Daphnia pulex: one gene and its partner. The protein of the gene in region 2 purifies or fractionates together with the protein of the main gene of each other region. This does not show direct contact. Links are inferred from orthologs where the notes say so. Each region holds a gene or a part of one and is shown on either strand. Other genes may lie near its edges.

Region 1 (7,795 bases), on a different chromosome or scaffold from region 2:
TGCTATTGCAAGCCACATAAACAGGGTTTGTCTCTTGATGAAGGCATTTCGATGCTCAAGAGACAAGATGAGAATGCCAATTCAAACCCACATCGTCTACTAATGAAACCAAAAATTTAACGTCCCCTGACAAACTACATGAATCCCACATTTGAGCTGCAGAAAGGAAATGTCAATAAAGTGATCAGACAGCTCTTCAACGACGTTGAATAGCGTGTCGATCAAAAATGGAGGCAGGATTGGGTATGATTAAACAATGAGTTTTATCGATTCGCATGGAAGTAGATGCCTGATGGAGGGAAACTTCACACACAGCCTGGCATGGGCGAGATAGACAACGTAGAATTACAACTTAAAAATGTAACTTACCGAACGGTTGGATGTGAATCAAAGTTGACATTTGCCCGTTCTTGTGAACAGTCGAAGAAGCGGGCGACTGTGTCTTGTAAATATCTTTGAATAAGCCAGAAAAGTTACTGTAAAACGCTTTTTTTCCCTAACAAAAATCAAGGAGGAAGGGAAGGCGTCATAGACGCTTAGCGAAGCCTCTTCTCGGTTTTTAACTCCTTGCGCACGGTGGCGAGATCCGCGAGAATTAAAAAGACCACGCCACCCCCCTTTTCTGGGGGGATGACTTTTTGGAAATATTTTTAGCCGATCGAAAATGTTTGCGTTGGCTTTGAATGGTGTCACAAAGTAGTCCACACGATCGTTTCTCTTTAGCGAAGAAATGTTTATCCTCTTCCTTTATGGCTAGAAAAATATACTCTCACTAACTGACTAACCTCTGCTTCTAAAAATATGCCGGCTATCAGTCTCGTCTTCTATCATTTTTCCAGGTAGTAGCCTATATATATATATATGTACAGGCAGCTGTAAAGGCAGAGTTTAAGTAGAAAGCATCTTCTTTCTTCATTATTTGTATTGCCTTTTGTTACCGTGACATGTCGATGTAATGTGATCAATGTGACCATACTATACCAACCTGACGTAATTCGGGACGATGATACAGCAAAACATATTTCTGCTATCCAGTAACATGTGATGAACATTACTTTTCATGGCAAATACAAGTGCAGTTTTTCTGGTTATTGCTCGTATTTCAGTTGGCTTGTTCTAATATTAAAACGACTCTTCGGCGTGGGCCGACTCATGAATATCAAATGAGTTTCATTGTTCGTAGTTGACGGACGAGCGACCCAGAAGAATATCGACCGTTGTGTACTGAGCACGATCTTCTTCTTTGTTCTACGCTATAGCAACTGTCCCTTGAGATACGGAGCAGATGTGTTTTCACCTGCAACATACAAGCATCGTTTATGAGGTTTCATGGAAATCCGGAAACAGGAAAGCCCTCGTCACTCCTGTCTCTATAACCCCCCCCCCCCCTTCCCGTCAGTAACGCCCCACAGTCTGCTGAGGATGGAATACAATTTTAATGATGTCACTTTACTAAGTTACGTCAGGCATTAGTGATAGTTGATTGATCAGGTGTTCAAAGTAAGACTCGTCACTTAATTAAACAAATGTACCCATTTATATATAATAAGCAGAGTAAATTAAAGTAATTGGTTGTCAATCGTTTCATCGGATCAGCAAATAAAACGATGGATTTCAGTAGATCCAAATATCTTTATTTCAAGATAGAATCTTTTGCACTGGCAAAAAAAGGTGATCTTCAAACAATGGAAGCGTTCAATTTTTGCTTCAACACGTCCGCCAATTTCGAACGTTCAATTTCCTCTTCCTGACGAGACGGGACGTGACGCAGTTTGACCACTCCTTTTTCCAATTCCGATTGACCAATAATAATTGCCCAGGGAATACCCTGCTCCTCGCAAGTCTGCAATTGCCCCAGCAACTTTGGATTAGCTTTATAGGACATTTCCGTCTGCAACGATACATAAAATTGCATTAGTAAATGTTCTTTAGGTGTTAATTAGCACGTCGTTTAACCTTTATTTCCTTGTCCCAGAGCTCAGCACAAATTTTCATCCTTTCCTCCAAGAGATTCTTTTGCGCAGCTGCAACGTAAACTTGGGTTTCGACGGTTCGCAATTTAAGATTGGCCTCTCGGTTCTCCAAAATCGCCAAAATCCGCTCAATGCCGATCGAAACACCGACACACGGGACGGCCTTTGCTTTAGGATCGAATAGTGCAACCAAATTATCGTAACGACCGCCACCTGCAATCGAACCGACTCCTTCTTCAGGGTTTTGGTCTAACAAAATAATGGATATTAAATAGGATTGTCTTTTAATGTACAAAAAATATATACAAAATACTTGTTAACACAGCCTCGTAGATTATCCCGGTGTAGTAGTCTAATCCTCGGGCCAAACTCATGTCAAACTTGACACGCTTCTTAACTCCGTAGAGTTCTGCGTATCTGAAGAACAATTTCAAAGCCTCAAGGCCCTCAATCGCCGACTTGGATAAACTCAATTTGGGGTCGGCTAACAGTTGCTCTACCAAGTCATCTTGGCCAGAACGAAGAACGTATTGTCCAATTTGATCAGCTTTTTCAGGTGCTAGACCTTTCTCATCGGTCATCTCCTTACGCACCTCTTCCCAAGGCGACTAGAAATGCATAAAGTTTTTATTAATTGTTTATATGCAATTCTAGTATCAAACAGAATATCGTACCTTATCTAGTTTATCAACTGAGGAACATATAGCTCGAAATTGAGTATCAGGAACACCACAAGCTTCGAAAAGGCCATCTAAAATTTTACGATGATTAATTTTGACGATGTGTTCGCTCAAATCCAACGAATCGAGAATTTCAGTAACCACTCTGACGCACTCGACATCGGGAATCATAGGATCAGTTGGGCCAGCGATATCAAAATCCTAGAAAGAAACAATTGGTACAATTAAAATATCAGTAGCAACAAGTTGCTTAATTAAAAGAGTCTTACACATTGGAAAAATTCCCTAAATCTTCCTTTGGTCATGGCAGGATTGTCTCTTCTGTACACCTTGCCGAGTTGGTACCGTTTGATGGATCCAACCTTGTTCATCGCCAAAAAGCGAGCAAAGGGAACGGTCAAGTCATAACGAAGTGAAAGGATTTCTCCTCCTTGATCCGCCAGATCGTAGATAAGTTTGGAATCTTCTCCATATTTTCCAGTGAGGACTTCTTTCAGTTCAAAAACCGGTGTGTCCAAAGTCTCAGCACCATGGCGTTTAAAGCATGCAATAATTTTGTCAAAAGCTTGCTGCCTGATCACCATCTGCCTTGGGTTGAAATCACGAGTTCCTTTGGCTGTTTTGAGGACGAATTTGCCACTGGATTTTTCATCCTTGTCACTTCCTTGTTGAGCCTTCAGTGCCAGTAGTTTAGAGACTTCCTCTGTGATCTTGGAAGAAAGGCAGCGGAATAGTTTATAATAAGCACCGGGCATCAAATTGATAAGTCTCATTTTCAATCAACACTTTGCAGACTGACAATATAGAAAAGGAAACTATGCAACAGATTCAACCACCTTTGAAAAGTGTGGAAGAATTGTAAGAATTGAAGTTCCACCAATAAAAAAACCTTTGATAACTTTTTTATACAATGTGCTGGTCAGCAATGGAAACTTAATTTATACCTTGTCAATGCCGGCTTTTTCCGCCTTGAGTTTTCGAACGATCTCTCCTTGTTCTTTTATCTGGTCGGCGATACTTTTACCGGCATCTGCCATGATTTAAGTGTGGAGATTACTATTTACTAATTGCAATAAATACCGGAATAGTAGATGAAAGAATATTGCACGAATAATTACATCAAATGCAAGTACTACAATGTGCACATTGCATCAGCTGGCTGGCTACAACCCCACCACCTATCAGACAAGTATGCAACTTGAATGAACTTCTGTCTGCGAACGAACGAACCAAAATAATCCCGACCGGGTAAATCCGTCGTAAATATGCATATCGTAATTTGTACTCTCTTGAGTCTCTTCGGATTACTAGCCTACCTTACAACTGTGAATTTTAAGCTGCAAGCATTTAAAAAAAAATGATCCGTCTAGACAAGTTTGAATTATAAAAAAAACAGCGAGTGTACCGTACCTACCCCGTTATTCGTAAATATTTGATTGTATTTTGCTTATATTATGTATTTTTGCTTATTTTTCTTATACGTCCCCTGACATTTTAGAAGATATACTAATGTGAGCGCGATCCACCTATAGTTGGCATGCTCTTCCAAAATCGGGTCATGGTAACTGAAAGTTTACTTTTTAAGTACTATGCAGCGACGACTGCGTGATACAGGATGTGCGTGACGCCTTTCATATCCCAGATGATCATACCAACTTATTCGTTTTTAATTGTATTGGGCTCTTCTTTAGTAGTACAACTACAACGTAACCTTTTTTCACATCTAGACGCTAGTGAATGAGCAAGTTGTGTATTTACTTTACTTCATTTATATATACGTATATATATATAGTCATCAACAAGCTACATCGAAATAATAAATGCCAGATATGACGTTCTTTGATCAAGACAGATCATCTTAGTGATGTGGAAAAATGAGAAAACATTCATATCCCGGATTAGAGAGATTTGCATGCTACAAAGAACGAAAAGAAATAAAAACGCGACGGAAATGATTTTTTTAAACGCGGAGAGAGAAGGACTTGATAATACGCAAACAACATTTGTTTGAAGAAATCGATATTACAACTATGAACAAATCCAATCGAAGAAAGCTACATTTCTCAATAAAAGAACGTGTCGACTAAAAAGTGACTCAGCCAATCTTTTTGAGACTAAACAACTGCATGGAACCAGAACCCGCCCACTTGTAAAGCCACACAAAACAAACAACCGCAATTCACTGACATTGCAATTTCACGTTAAAATTCGTTTCAAAGCGTGAGATAACGAGAAAAGCTTGACGCTATCCATGAAAAATAAGGCAATCAGTTGAATCGTTGGCTACTAATTATTTTTTTTTTCTTCAAAAACGTACTGGTATTTGTAAGGAAATAGTTTTGGAGGAACGGTATCCCTGTAGTCATAAATAGTCGATTATATGAACAAAGTCAGGCTGAAATTTTTGGATAATTAGTCTAGATTATTTGCTTCCGTTTTCACTATTGCATTTGCGCCGCTTTCAGATCTTCAAGGATGGACTCCCTAGCCAGTGCAGCTTTCTTTCGGATAAAGAAACAATCTGAGCAAAACCACTGGGTGTTCGCCATGCCGTACGAGGTGCATCCGGTTGATTTGCACTGTTTGCGGATGCTATCATAATGAGATAAAAGTCGAGACGTAGGCTGCGGTACAACTTTCTCAACTACGGGGGAAGAGCGCGGTAACTCGACGTCCACAGGAGAATTTCCTGCCACCCCTTTGTGTGGCTGCTGTAAAAGTCTGGGCGGGCGGACCGGATGTGTTGGCCTTTGTTGTTCTTCAGGATGATCCAGCCTCAAATCAATCAGTTCTTCAGTTGGTTTATGGGTTCCGTTGCGCTCGTAAACTTTGGCAATGATCGTCGGCATGGTTGGTGTGGTCGCTTTTGCTTGTTGCCCGACTGGCTCCACCACGCTGGGCTGTTTAAACTTTTCACAAATATTAGGACTTATCTTCTCGAAAACAACCTTTTCCTCGATTTTAGGAGAAGGTGTTGCCGAGTTGGGCGGATTCCCGTCGCCGTAAAAAGTAGAATTCGAGAGATACAGCGTCCCGTTTTGTCCATTCGGTGGTCTGCGCGCCGGAATGTTGGTGGCATCGGCGTAAGATTGGCTGTCTGATTGGGCATAGAACACGGATTTCCCAATTCCGTACAGAGCGTTTTGATTGCCGCAGCTGTTTGATTTTGTAGCAGCCACTTTCAGATTCTTGGCCCTTTCTTCTTCCTGCTCGAGTTGTTTTGCGTAGCAGGCCGTGCACATGTAGCTGGTGAGAGCAGTCCCGTACATGGAGCAGTTGGGATTAATGCAAGGGCTAGGTCCCTCTTGGATGGCCATTTCGGCCAAGGTATGCTGCTTCCGGCGCTGCCAGACAAGCGTTTGACGTTGACGTTCGGCCTGCTGCTGTTCAAACCTATGACGAGCCGATTGCATGTAATTGCTAATCATCTGCTCGAGGCAAGGATGGTGCTTCTCGGTATGCAGACGGGCACACAGTATGAAATCCGGACATTCCCATTGGACATTATTGAGGCGGGCTGGCGACGGTAGCGGATGCTTCAGGGTGAAGTTGTCAATCAAATTTTTCTTTATCTTGCGACCGACGGAACGCCCTAGACTGCCAAATTGTTTAGCTACACTGTAGTGTAGCTGCTTGCCAGGGGCTTTAGGCCCGGATGGACCAAATCGAGCCCCATTAAATTCGCCATCACTACTCCATCCTTCCGTGTCGTGTGACGGACGACTGAGAGTTCCATTTGCTTTGGTATCATTTTTGACTTTGGAAGTTTTAGAGCTGCTATTTTTAATGACTGCCGGACACGGAATGTCGACTAAATCAAGGAACTGGTTCAGCAACGCAAGACGATCCTCATGCGTGAAGGCAACCCGTTGAACAACAGCCTCATTGAATTCATCCCGGTTCCAAACGCACGCTTCGCCTGGATCCACCTCAAACTGGATGGGCAATAATTCACGATCCACGTCCACCAGAGGAATAACTAAAATAGTTTAAAAAGAAAAACCAATTTCCAAACAGTGACAAAAGCTGGCTCTGAATAAACAAGAAAATACCGGCAGGTGGCTCATGAACTTGTTCGCAAGTGGTCGGGGAGAATTTCTTCTGAGGCGCCATGGCAACTAAAGCTGAAAAATGAGCAGCGTCATAGGCTAAAATTAAAGGCGACCGGCTGCATTCACTAGGCTCAATCTCCAGCGGAAGGTAGATGCCACCGAATGGGATAGGTGCGAGGTCCTCTCCATTGACATCCTGGATGAGATATAGACCAATAAAAACGTTTTAAAATAAAGCTCAGAAGAAGGCCGCCAGACAGTCGTAATCAGCTTAGATCCTTCGTGAGTGATAGGCGTGACATGAATCATGTGAGCCTGTTTATCGCCTACTTTTAAAACAGTGTCCGCGATGACAAAAATAGGCCGCTTGAGAACATGGGCTAATGCTAACACATGTATCTCTTCCAGGGATTCGTAAGTTTTACTCGAGGTGTTAAAGGATTCTCCGCGACCATCGGTTTCCGTTTCGCATGCACTTGGTGTAGATGAACCAGATGTTCTCGGCTGAGAACTAGCTAGCTTCAGAATGTTTTCCCATTCTCGTCGCCATTCTTCCTCATTTAGACGCAAGTCCAATCCCGCCTGCAATAGTTTCAATCGAATCATTTTACGGCACCATAAAACATTGGGATCAAAACATTATTACTTGGAGGTTGGATCGAGCGTTTTGCCACCTCCACCTCCTCCACAAGGCATGACGAAATGTCCCCATGGTCAGAAAGTTGTGCAGTGCTTTCCTCAGTATAAGAAGTCGATCGTGAAATCCCCACATTCCTGTGATTATAAGTAACATTTCAAATCAAATTATTCTATCACACGGAAAAACAATGAAAAATACCTAGAGACGCAGCATGGAGAAGGCAATTGCCGTCCCCTGTTGTCGACAGCGGCCATAGTTTCTCGCATCCTTCACCTAAACATGTCCACCAGTTTAAACGGACAGCCTCTTGCAACGACACAGCCATAGAGGTGTCAATCAACTCATTTTCAAGAAACGCACGGAACTCATCTATGGAAAAAAAATTATGTTGTTTAAACCATAATAAAAATATATAACCATTAATTGAGTATTATCACTCACCAGATTGGG
Region 2 (6,662 bases):
CAATATTTCAATTTTCGCCCATTTTTGGACGAGGGCAGAGTCTATAGCTCTGACGAGGGTTCTAGAATCAAATACTCCTTGCTCCTTGACGGCAACAGTTAATTCGTAATGTTTCATCTTATTTCAACTGCAAAAGAGCGGATAGCAATAATCAGCCGAAAATACCATTATTTTCTAACACCCCAAAAGCCAAGATTTCTAGCAAGTAATAACATTATGTCAATGGATCAACTAAGGGAAAGGTGAAGCGAATAGAAAATTCTCCCATAGTATTACAACGCCGGATGAAAGTTTTGACGTATATAACGGTATGCAACCACAAAAGTGAACGTTCAAAAGTAATTGTCGCTCTTGTTCTTTTACCTGACAAGTTTCCCTTTTCTTTCCAATAATAATCTCAGTCGCACGTCTTGACCACACTATCGAGAATCACCTTGGCCATCGTGTAAAAGTGTAACTATAAAACGGCTGTGTCGACTGGGTAAAAGTCATCAGTCGATTCTCGATTCTCCTACCAAAAGCTTCACCAACCAACATGCAGGTCTTGTTCATTTTATTACTCAAATGATTGCGACTTTTATTTTAGTTTAATGCTCGTAAACAGGTCCAAACTATCGTCGCCCTTGTCTCGTTGGCTGTCGTTATGACAGTCGGACAGGAACAGTACGCCGGCAATGCCGCCAAGTCATCCTACGAAGAACAGCAGGTAAATTAAAAATAACGTTCAAGTGTTCAAATTAAAAATTTTGATTTTCCATAGCACGCTCCTATGCCGCACTCGTTTGCCTGGGAAGTGAAGGACGAGCCGAGCAAGAACGACTACTCGCACCAACAGGAAAGCGACGGCAAAGTCACGACCGGATCCTACCGCGTTGCCTTGCCCGACGGCCGCACCCAAATCGTCACCTACAGAGCCGACCAAAACGGATACGTCGCTGAAGTCAAATACGAAGGAGAGGCCCAGTATCCCGCACCTTCTTCATACAGCAACAAACCAGCGAGTTATCAAACTGAACAATCTAAACCATACCCAAGTGCTTAAATAGCCCGAACACTCGACAATCTGCAGGAACATAATGAACCAATGCGTTTTCTCCGATCCCTAAATGCCTCATTGGTTGTAAGTTTGTTACTATAAATCTTGTAATATATGGAATGGAAATATAAAGCGACAAAGTAGCGCAAGTTCACTGACGAAACAGAAATACGTAGCTGAATAGTAGATAATCGAAGAATTGCCTAAATAAAACAAGAAAATTGACAATAACTTGATTGAATTTTAGATAAATAAGATCGAGTCCCATACTTATTGGGGGATGAGGACACTGCATTGATGCGCATCTACATTAACTTTCGATTGTCGTGAAGCAGAGCCGTGACGTTGTCCTCAGCTAGAAAGTTGTTGCGTGCTTCTCCGTGAAGCGTAAATGTTTAGTAATGCCCTACTGAATCAGGAAAAGTAATTTGTAAATTTACTATGTAAAATTGAAATCAAAAAGTCAATACCTGTTTTACGATCATCCTGAATAGTAAATCTGAGAAAGCGATGGAGATTGTATGCTTTGGCTCCAGAACGCCATTGCTTGATGTTCTTTTTCAATATAAGCGCATCCGTTGGGTTCAGTCAGATACTTTATGCTGGTTTAATGTAAATAAAACAGTGTGACGTCACCGCAATGGGCAACCAAATTAACGATCCGGAAATCATCGCCAAAATGAGCAACATTTGGAACCAAATATCTGCGGAAACGATTTCAATTACGGACGGCTGGATCCGCCCATGATAAACAAAATATTCCAACCAAAAAGTGACCGAAACGTTGCAACACTTTTCTACACTCCAACAAACTTGTGGGGGGCTGCTGAACTGTTAAGGGAAAGTGGATGAGGGACTTGACGATGCAACACCTGAGCGGTTTGTTCTTCAACCTCCACCAATCATATTAAACCACTCAACAAGTCAGCTAACGCATTGAGTGGTTGAAGAACAATTGTTAGTAGAAACTGCAAGAGCTACGGATGGACGCTGGATGTCCATCTGAACGGAACCATGAATTCGGTGAGGGTGAACAAATGTTTTGTGGCCAACTCCCAGCTCCTTCAAACAGAACAAGGAAAGTTTACCTAGCATTAAGGAATAGAATTTTTCTTTATTTTTGAGCTCAACGAATCTGCCAGATACAGAGACCGAACATTCGCTTCCACCCCTTAAACAAGAAAGAAAACATAAAATTTACCATCTTTTGTTTAAAAAAAGGACAACCAAGATAGACCTGTATATAATTAAATCATTTAAGGCTTTCTGCTTAATTTCAATTAATTTTGATGAAGTGTAAAAAAAAAAAGATCCAGGAATGTTCGTTGTTCGGAATGTCGTCGTTTTAGATGGACGAAGGTTTCACCCACTTGTACGAGCCAGAGTATTTGAAATTGCTGCGTGCCAGCAAGTCGTCAGCCTCTCTCGGGCCTCTCGATCCATACCTTTTTCCATTTAAAATTTTTAAAAAATAATTACGTCAGTAAAAAGAAGACTCAAAACAAAGTGAAAGTTTTAACGAACTTGTAAGGTAGTGGTTTGACTTTCTCCCCTTCAATTTGGTGCAAGAGGGGCGTGAAGATGCGCCAGGCTTCGGCCAACTCATCCGATCGAACGAAATGCATTTGAGATCCACAAAAGACGTCGAGAATCAACCGTTCGTAAGCGTCCGGCATTTTGACGTGCTATGCAATTCAGACAATATAACAATTAATCAATGAATAAAATCCTGTTCATTATTCAATGAGAATTTACCTTGTAACGAGCGCCGTACGTCAAGTCCAGCTCGGTCTCTTCCATGTCGAAACTCATGCCAGGTGTTTTGGTAACCATTTTGACGTAAATGGCCTCTCCCGGCTGAACGCGAATGACCAATTCGTTGCGCTTGGCCTGCCCTTGAAAGATGTCACCGGGTACGTCGCGGTACTGGATCCGAACCTCGGCTTTCCGTTCGTTCAGCGCCTTTCCGCAGCGAAGAATAAACGGGACACCGTCCCATCGCTCGTTATTAATTCGCAAAGCGGCCGAGGCGTAAGTCGGAGTGGTGGAGTCTTTCGGAACAGTCGGATCGTCCAGATAACTTTCCTTGGCTTCTCCCTGGCCTTCGGGATCGCCAATGTATTGGCCGAGAACGACATCGTCCATCGTCAGGGCCGGAATGCATTTGAGCACTTTGACTTTCTCGTCGCGAATGTCGTTGGGATGAGTCGAGGCCGGTTTCTCCATGGCCGTCAGGCAGAGCATTTGCAACAGATGGTTCTGCATGACATCACGAATGATGCCAAACTCGTCAAAGTAGCCGCCACGGCCTTCAGTGCCGAAAGGTTCCTTGAAAGTGATGAGAACGCTGGCGATGCTCTCACGATTCCACGTCGGACCGAACAGTCGATTGCCGAACCGGAGAATCATCAAATTCTGGACCATCTCCTTGCCGAGATAATGATCGATTCGATAGATTTGATCTTCACGGAACAAAGCCGCCAAATGAGCCGATAAATGAGCCGACGATTCCAAATCACGACCGAACGGCTTTTCTACAATCACTCGAGTCCAGCCCCTGGAAAAAACAAAAAAATGAATTAAATTTACATGAACTTTGAATTAATTTATGAAAGATTTATACTTGGATGCCATGCAGGAACTGCGGATGTTGGCAGTGACGGATTCGAAAACGAACGGTGGGACGGCCAAGTAAAAGAGTCGATTGGCGGCTGGACCACGTTCGTGCTGAATCATCTCCTGATCGAGCATTTCGAAATCTCTTCGGGAGTCATAGCCGCCCGCAAAGTAGCGATTGGCCTCCCAAAAAGCCTCGTAGCGCTCCTGTTCCTCCTCCTTGACTTTCATGTACTGGTGGCTCTTGGCTCTCACCTCCTCCACCTTCATGTGAGAACGGGCGTAGCCATAGAAGATTGTGTTCTTGGGTAATAAATTATCGCGGTACAGCCACCAGATGGTCGGGTAGATTTTCTTTCTCGCCAAATCGCCCTGTTTGCATCGAATAACGATAATCAACATGTCAATTAAAAAACAATCATTTAAATCAATAGTGCGTGAAAGTGAGAGGACATGCGCAAATTCCAATTTTCTACCATTTGTCGGGAGGAAAGAAAAATTCCATAACTCTGTTATCTCTTATCTGATTAAAAAAAATAAACGTTTTTGTTTCTCCCACACAATGTGCAATTAAAATAAAGCGTGTAACTTTTTTTTTTTCGTTTGTGCGGCGATTAGCCAGACGATAAAACAAAAGAAAAAAAAAACAGATTCGGCAACCCGCAATTAAAGTTGCTTTTCCAGTTTTTTTTTTATTACTACTTCAAATTAAACTTTTTTTTGGGGTTTGTACTTGTGTTAAAAAAAAAAACCGGTTCTTATTTTTTCTTCGAATCGAACTGGGGGGAATTTCTGAACAAAAGAAACGCGAACGTGGCGGAGTAGCGAGCAAAATTGAGGGCACTTTCACGTGGCGTGTAACGGAGCGTCGAGTGCTCGCTCAGCAGCGCTCACTCTCTTATGCATTTACAATACGATCGCTTTTGCGGTGCCAGGTGACTACTGGCATAAAGAGAGAGAGCTGGCCGATCATTCCGGGGAAGATGAATTGCCCAGTGGGACGCCGACAAAGTCGCTAAAGAAAATTTTTAAAAACCAGTTTCATTTACCGAAGCCCCGAAGATGACGAAACTATGAGGTAGGGTCTCCTCAAAAACCTCCGCTTGAGACATGTGCACGGAGCGGAGCGACTTGCGGATGAGAGCGAGCGTGTCCTCTGACGACGAAGAATCTCCTGATTAAAATAACAACCAAAAAAGAAAAAATGATATTAAAATCGTGTGAAATGACAGTAGTTTCATTAGTGGGGCAATTGCGTGAAAAACAATAACATGTGTTATCCGTGAAAAAAAAAAAAGAGATTGAGGTTAGATCGTTACGGAAATACTGATGATACCGCTGCACACGAAAGTTGTGACTCCGCCACCGCAACAACAACAAATTTATGCATATTGAAATTTAAAAAAAAAACTAGTCAAAATTTCGAGCTTTCTAAATCATTTCAATTCTACCGCAGACAACGAGGTTAAAACAATGGTCTCCTTTTCCTTCCTTCTCTCTACGGCCAATTCGAAATGGATTTTTAAACTGCCGAGCGTGTGGGTGTGGTTGGCCACCACTTCCACATTTAGCAATGATCTGGATATTATCGTCCATCTTTCTCCCCCCTCCTTTTCAACGTTGTTCTCCGCAATCGACCGACATCCACAACAACTTTTGTGAGACGTGTGAGACAACTATCTACCGAGGCGGTCTCTAACGGTACTAGGAAAAATAGAAGGGACCCAATTGAGAGAAGATATAGGAATGTGATGCCTTCTGGCTATTTCCTTTTTTAAAGAAATAAATAAACGAATCTTTTTCGTTCGGAATGAAGGAGGAATTTTTTTTTTCTTACAATGAAACACTTAATCCACACGTTGGGTCTTGTCAAATTGAAACAGTTGGAGATTTCGGTGGTTGCCGTAATCCAATCTCGTCCAATTAAGGAAAAAAGACGAGAAAAAAAGTGTGAGAGGACAAACAACACATTTCCCACGAGTTACGTGCAAGAAAAAAATAAAATAAAGGGCTGTAAATTTCAAATGGAACTATACAAAACACACACACAACAACAAAAAACCGAGCCCAGGAATATGTAAAAAGACATAAAATAAAAAGGGAAAAAACTTTTATTTTATACTTCCAACTTTAGTTCCCATGTCGTCGTCTGTTGGTTGATTGTTGTGACGGTGTTGAAGAGTCGTTGGATGAAGCACAACTACCGAGTTATCACAGCAACTAGCTAAGGACCCCGTCTTGCCAACGATTGAGACAACTATCTCTCGAGCCGGCCCCTTTTTAATGCGTCGCTACACACACACACTCACTACACCGCTTGTGTGTATAGTCGGTTTGTATGTGCTCAGCAATCGTTATTCAACAACTGTGGTCGTTCGGAAGGCCGTATACGAAATGAGACTACAATGCGTGCTGGTTTTTGTTGATATCGAGCCACCGTGCGTGCGTGTCTGTCTGTTTTTCGCCGCGCCCCTCCTGCAAAGAAAAAAGCCCCGTTCACTTCGCCTGCGCGATGGACTGCGAAACAAAAAATGAGATAAAAGATACGATCGTTGGACGTCCTATTTAATTACTAGTTGCAAGTGATAGTCTGAAGAAAGTCTTTTGGGATTCAATTATTCACTAATTACCGTAGAAGCTGTCCAAACAAGGTGCTGATGGTCTTTGCTTTACGCTGGCAATCAATCATGTGTGAGGAAGGAGACAATAAAACACGAACCAATTGGCTGCTATTAGTTTACGTCTTAATGGGTGGCACGGTAATAAGAATAAATAGCAGCCAGGCTTTGGTGTGGAATGGAAAGAGAAAAACAAAACGATTGAAATAAGTTGAATTGCCTACAGGTGTCTGGCTCTCTTATACATATACTATTCATAACAATAAGATAAGCGTCACGGTTTTGTTTCCTTTTTTGGATAGTCATCGTGACGTGAGTGAAAGCGTGCCTGTTTGTCTAGAAAATGGGGAAGTGCCAAAGATCACGACTTGTGCGAGTATACACACACACAC

Evidence for each region. Proteins that work in one complex are often made in the same cells at the same time.
Region 1: the proteins of glucose-6-phosphate 1-dehydrogenase-like (region 2) and histidine--tRNA ligase, cytoplasmic-like fractionate together in Homo sapiens (co-fractionation; 3 studies listed by BioGRID). This does not show direct contact. The link is inferred for Daphnia pulex from reciprocal best matches to the Homo sapiens genes G6PD and HARS1.

Annotation. Positions count from the first base shown.
Region 1 is NC_060022.1:4,992,912-5,000,706, reverse strand, and holds histidine--tRNA ligase, cytoplasmic-like, read right to left. Parts: upstream 3,853-7,795; 5' UTR 3,691-3,852; coding exon 3,598-3,690; intron 3,490-3,597; exon of another isoform or gene 3,427-3,489; coding exon of another isoform or gene 3,364-3,426; coding exon 2,923-3,363; intron 2,855-2,922; coding exon 2,648-2,854; intron 2,582-2,647; coding exon 2,287-2,581; intron 2,223-2,286; coding exon 1,957-2,222; intron 1,892-1,956; coding exon 1,679-1,891; 3' UTR 1,613-1,678; downstream 1-1,612. Other genes in the region: OTU domain-containing protein 7B-like, read right to left, coding at 5,095-6,632, 6,706-6,901, 7,036-7,287, 7,352-7,479, 7,544-7,714, 7,787-7,795. UniProt on the Homo sapiens protein: Catalyzes the ATP-dependent ligation of histidine to the 3'-end of its cognate tRNA, via the formation of an aminoacyl-adenylate intermediate (His-AMP). Plays a role in axon guidance.
Region 2 is NC_060026.1:14,992,930-14,999,591, forward strand, and holds the end of glucose-6-phosphate 1-dehydrogenase-like, read right to left. Parts: exon of another isoform or gene 6,128-6,662; 5' UTR 5,794-6,127; coding exon 5,775-5,793; intron 4,827-5,774; coding exon 4,702-4,826; intron 4,025-4,701; coding exon 3,660-4,024; intron 3,594-3,659; coding exon 2,792-3,593; intron 2,722-2,791; coding exon 2,561-2,721; intron 2,482-2,560; coding exon 2,382-2,481; 3' UTR 2,131-2,381; downstream 1-2,130. Other genes in the region: pro-resilin-like, read left to right, coding at 536-541, 605-706, 761-1,042. UniProt on the Homo sapiens protein: Catalyzes the rate-limiting step of the oxidative pentose-phosphate pathway, which represents a route for the dissimilation of carbohydrates besides glycolysis.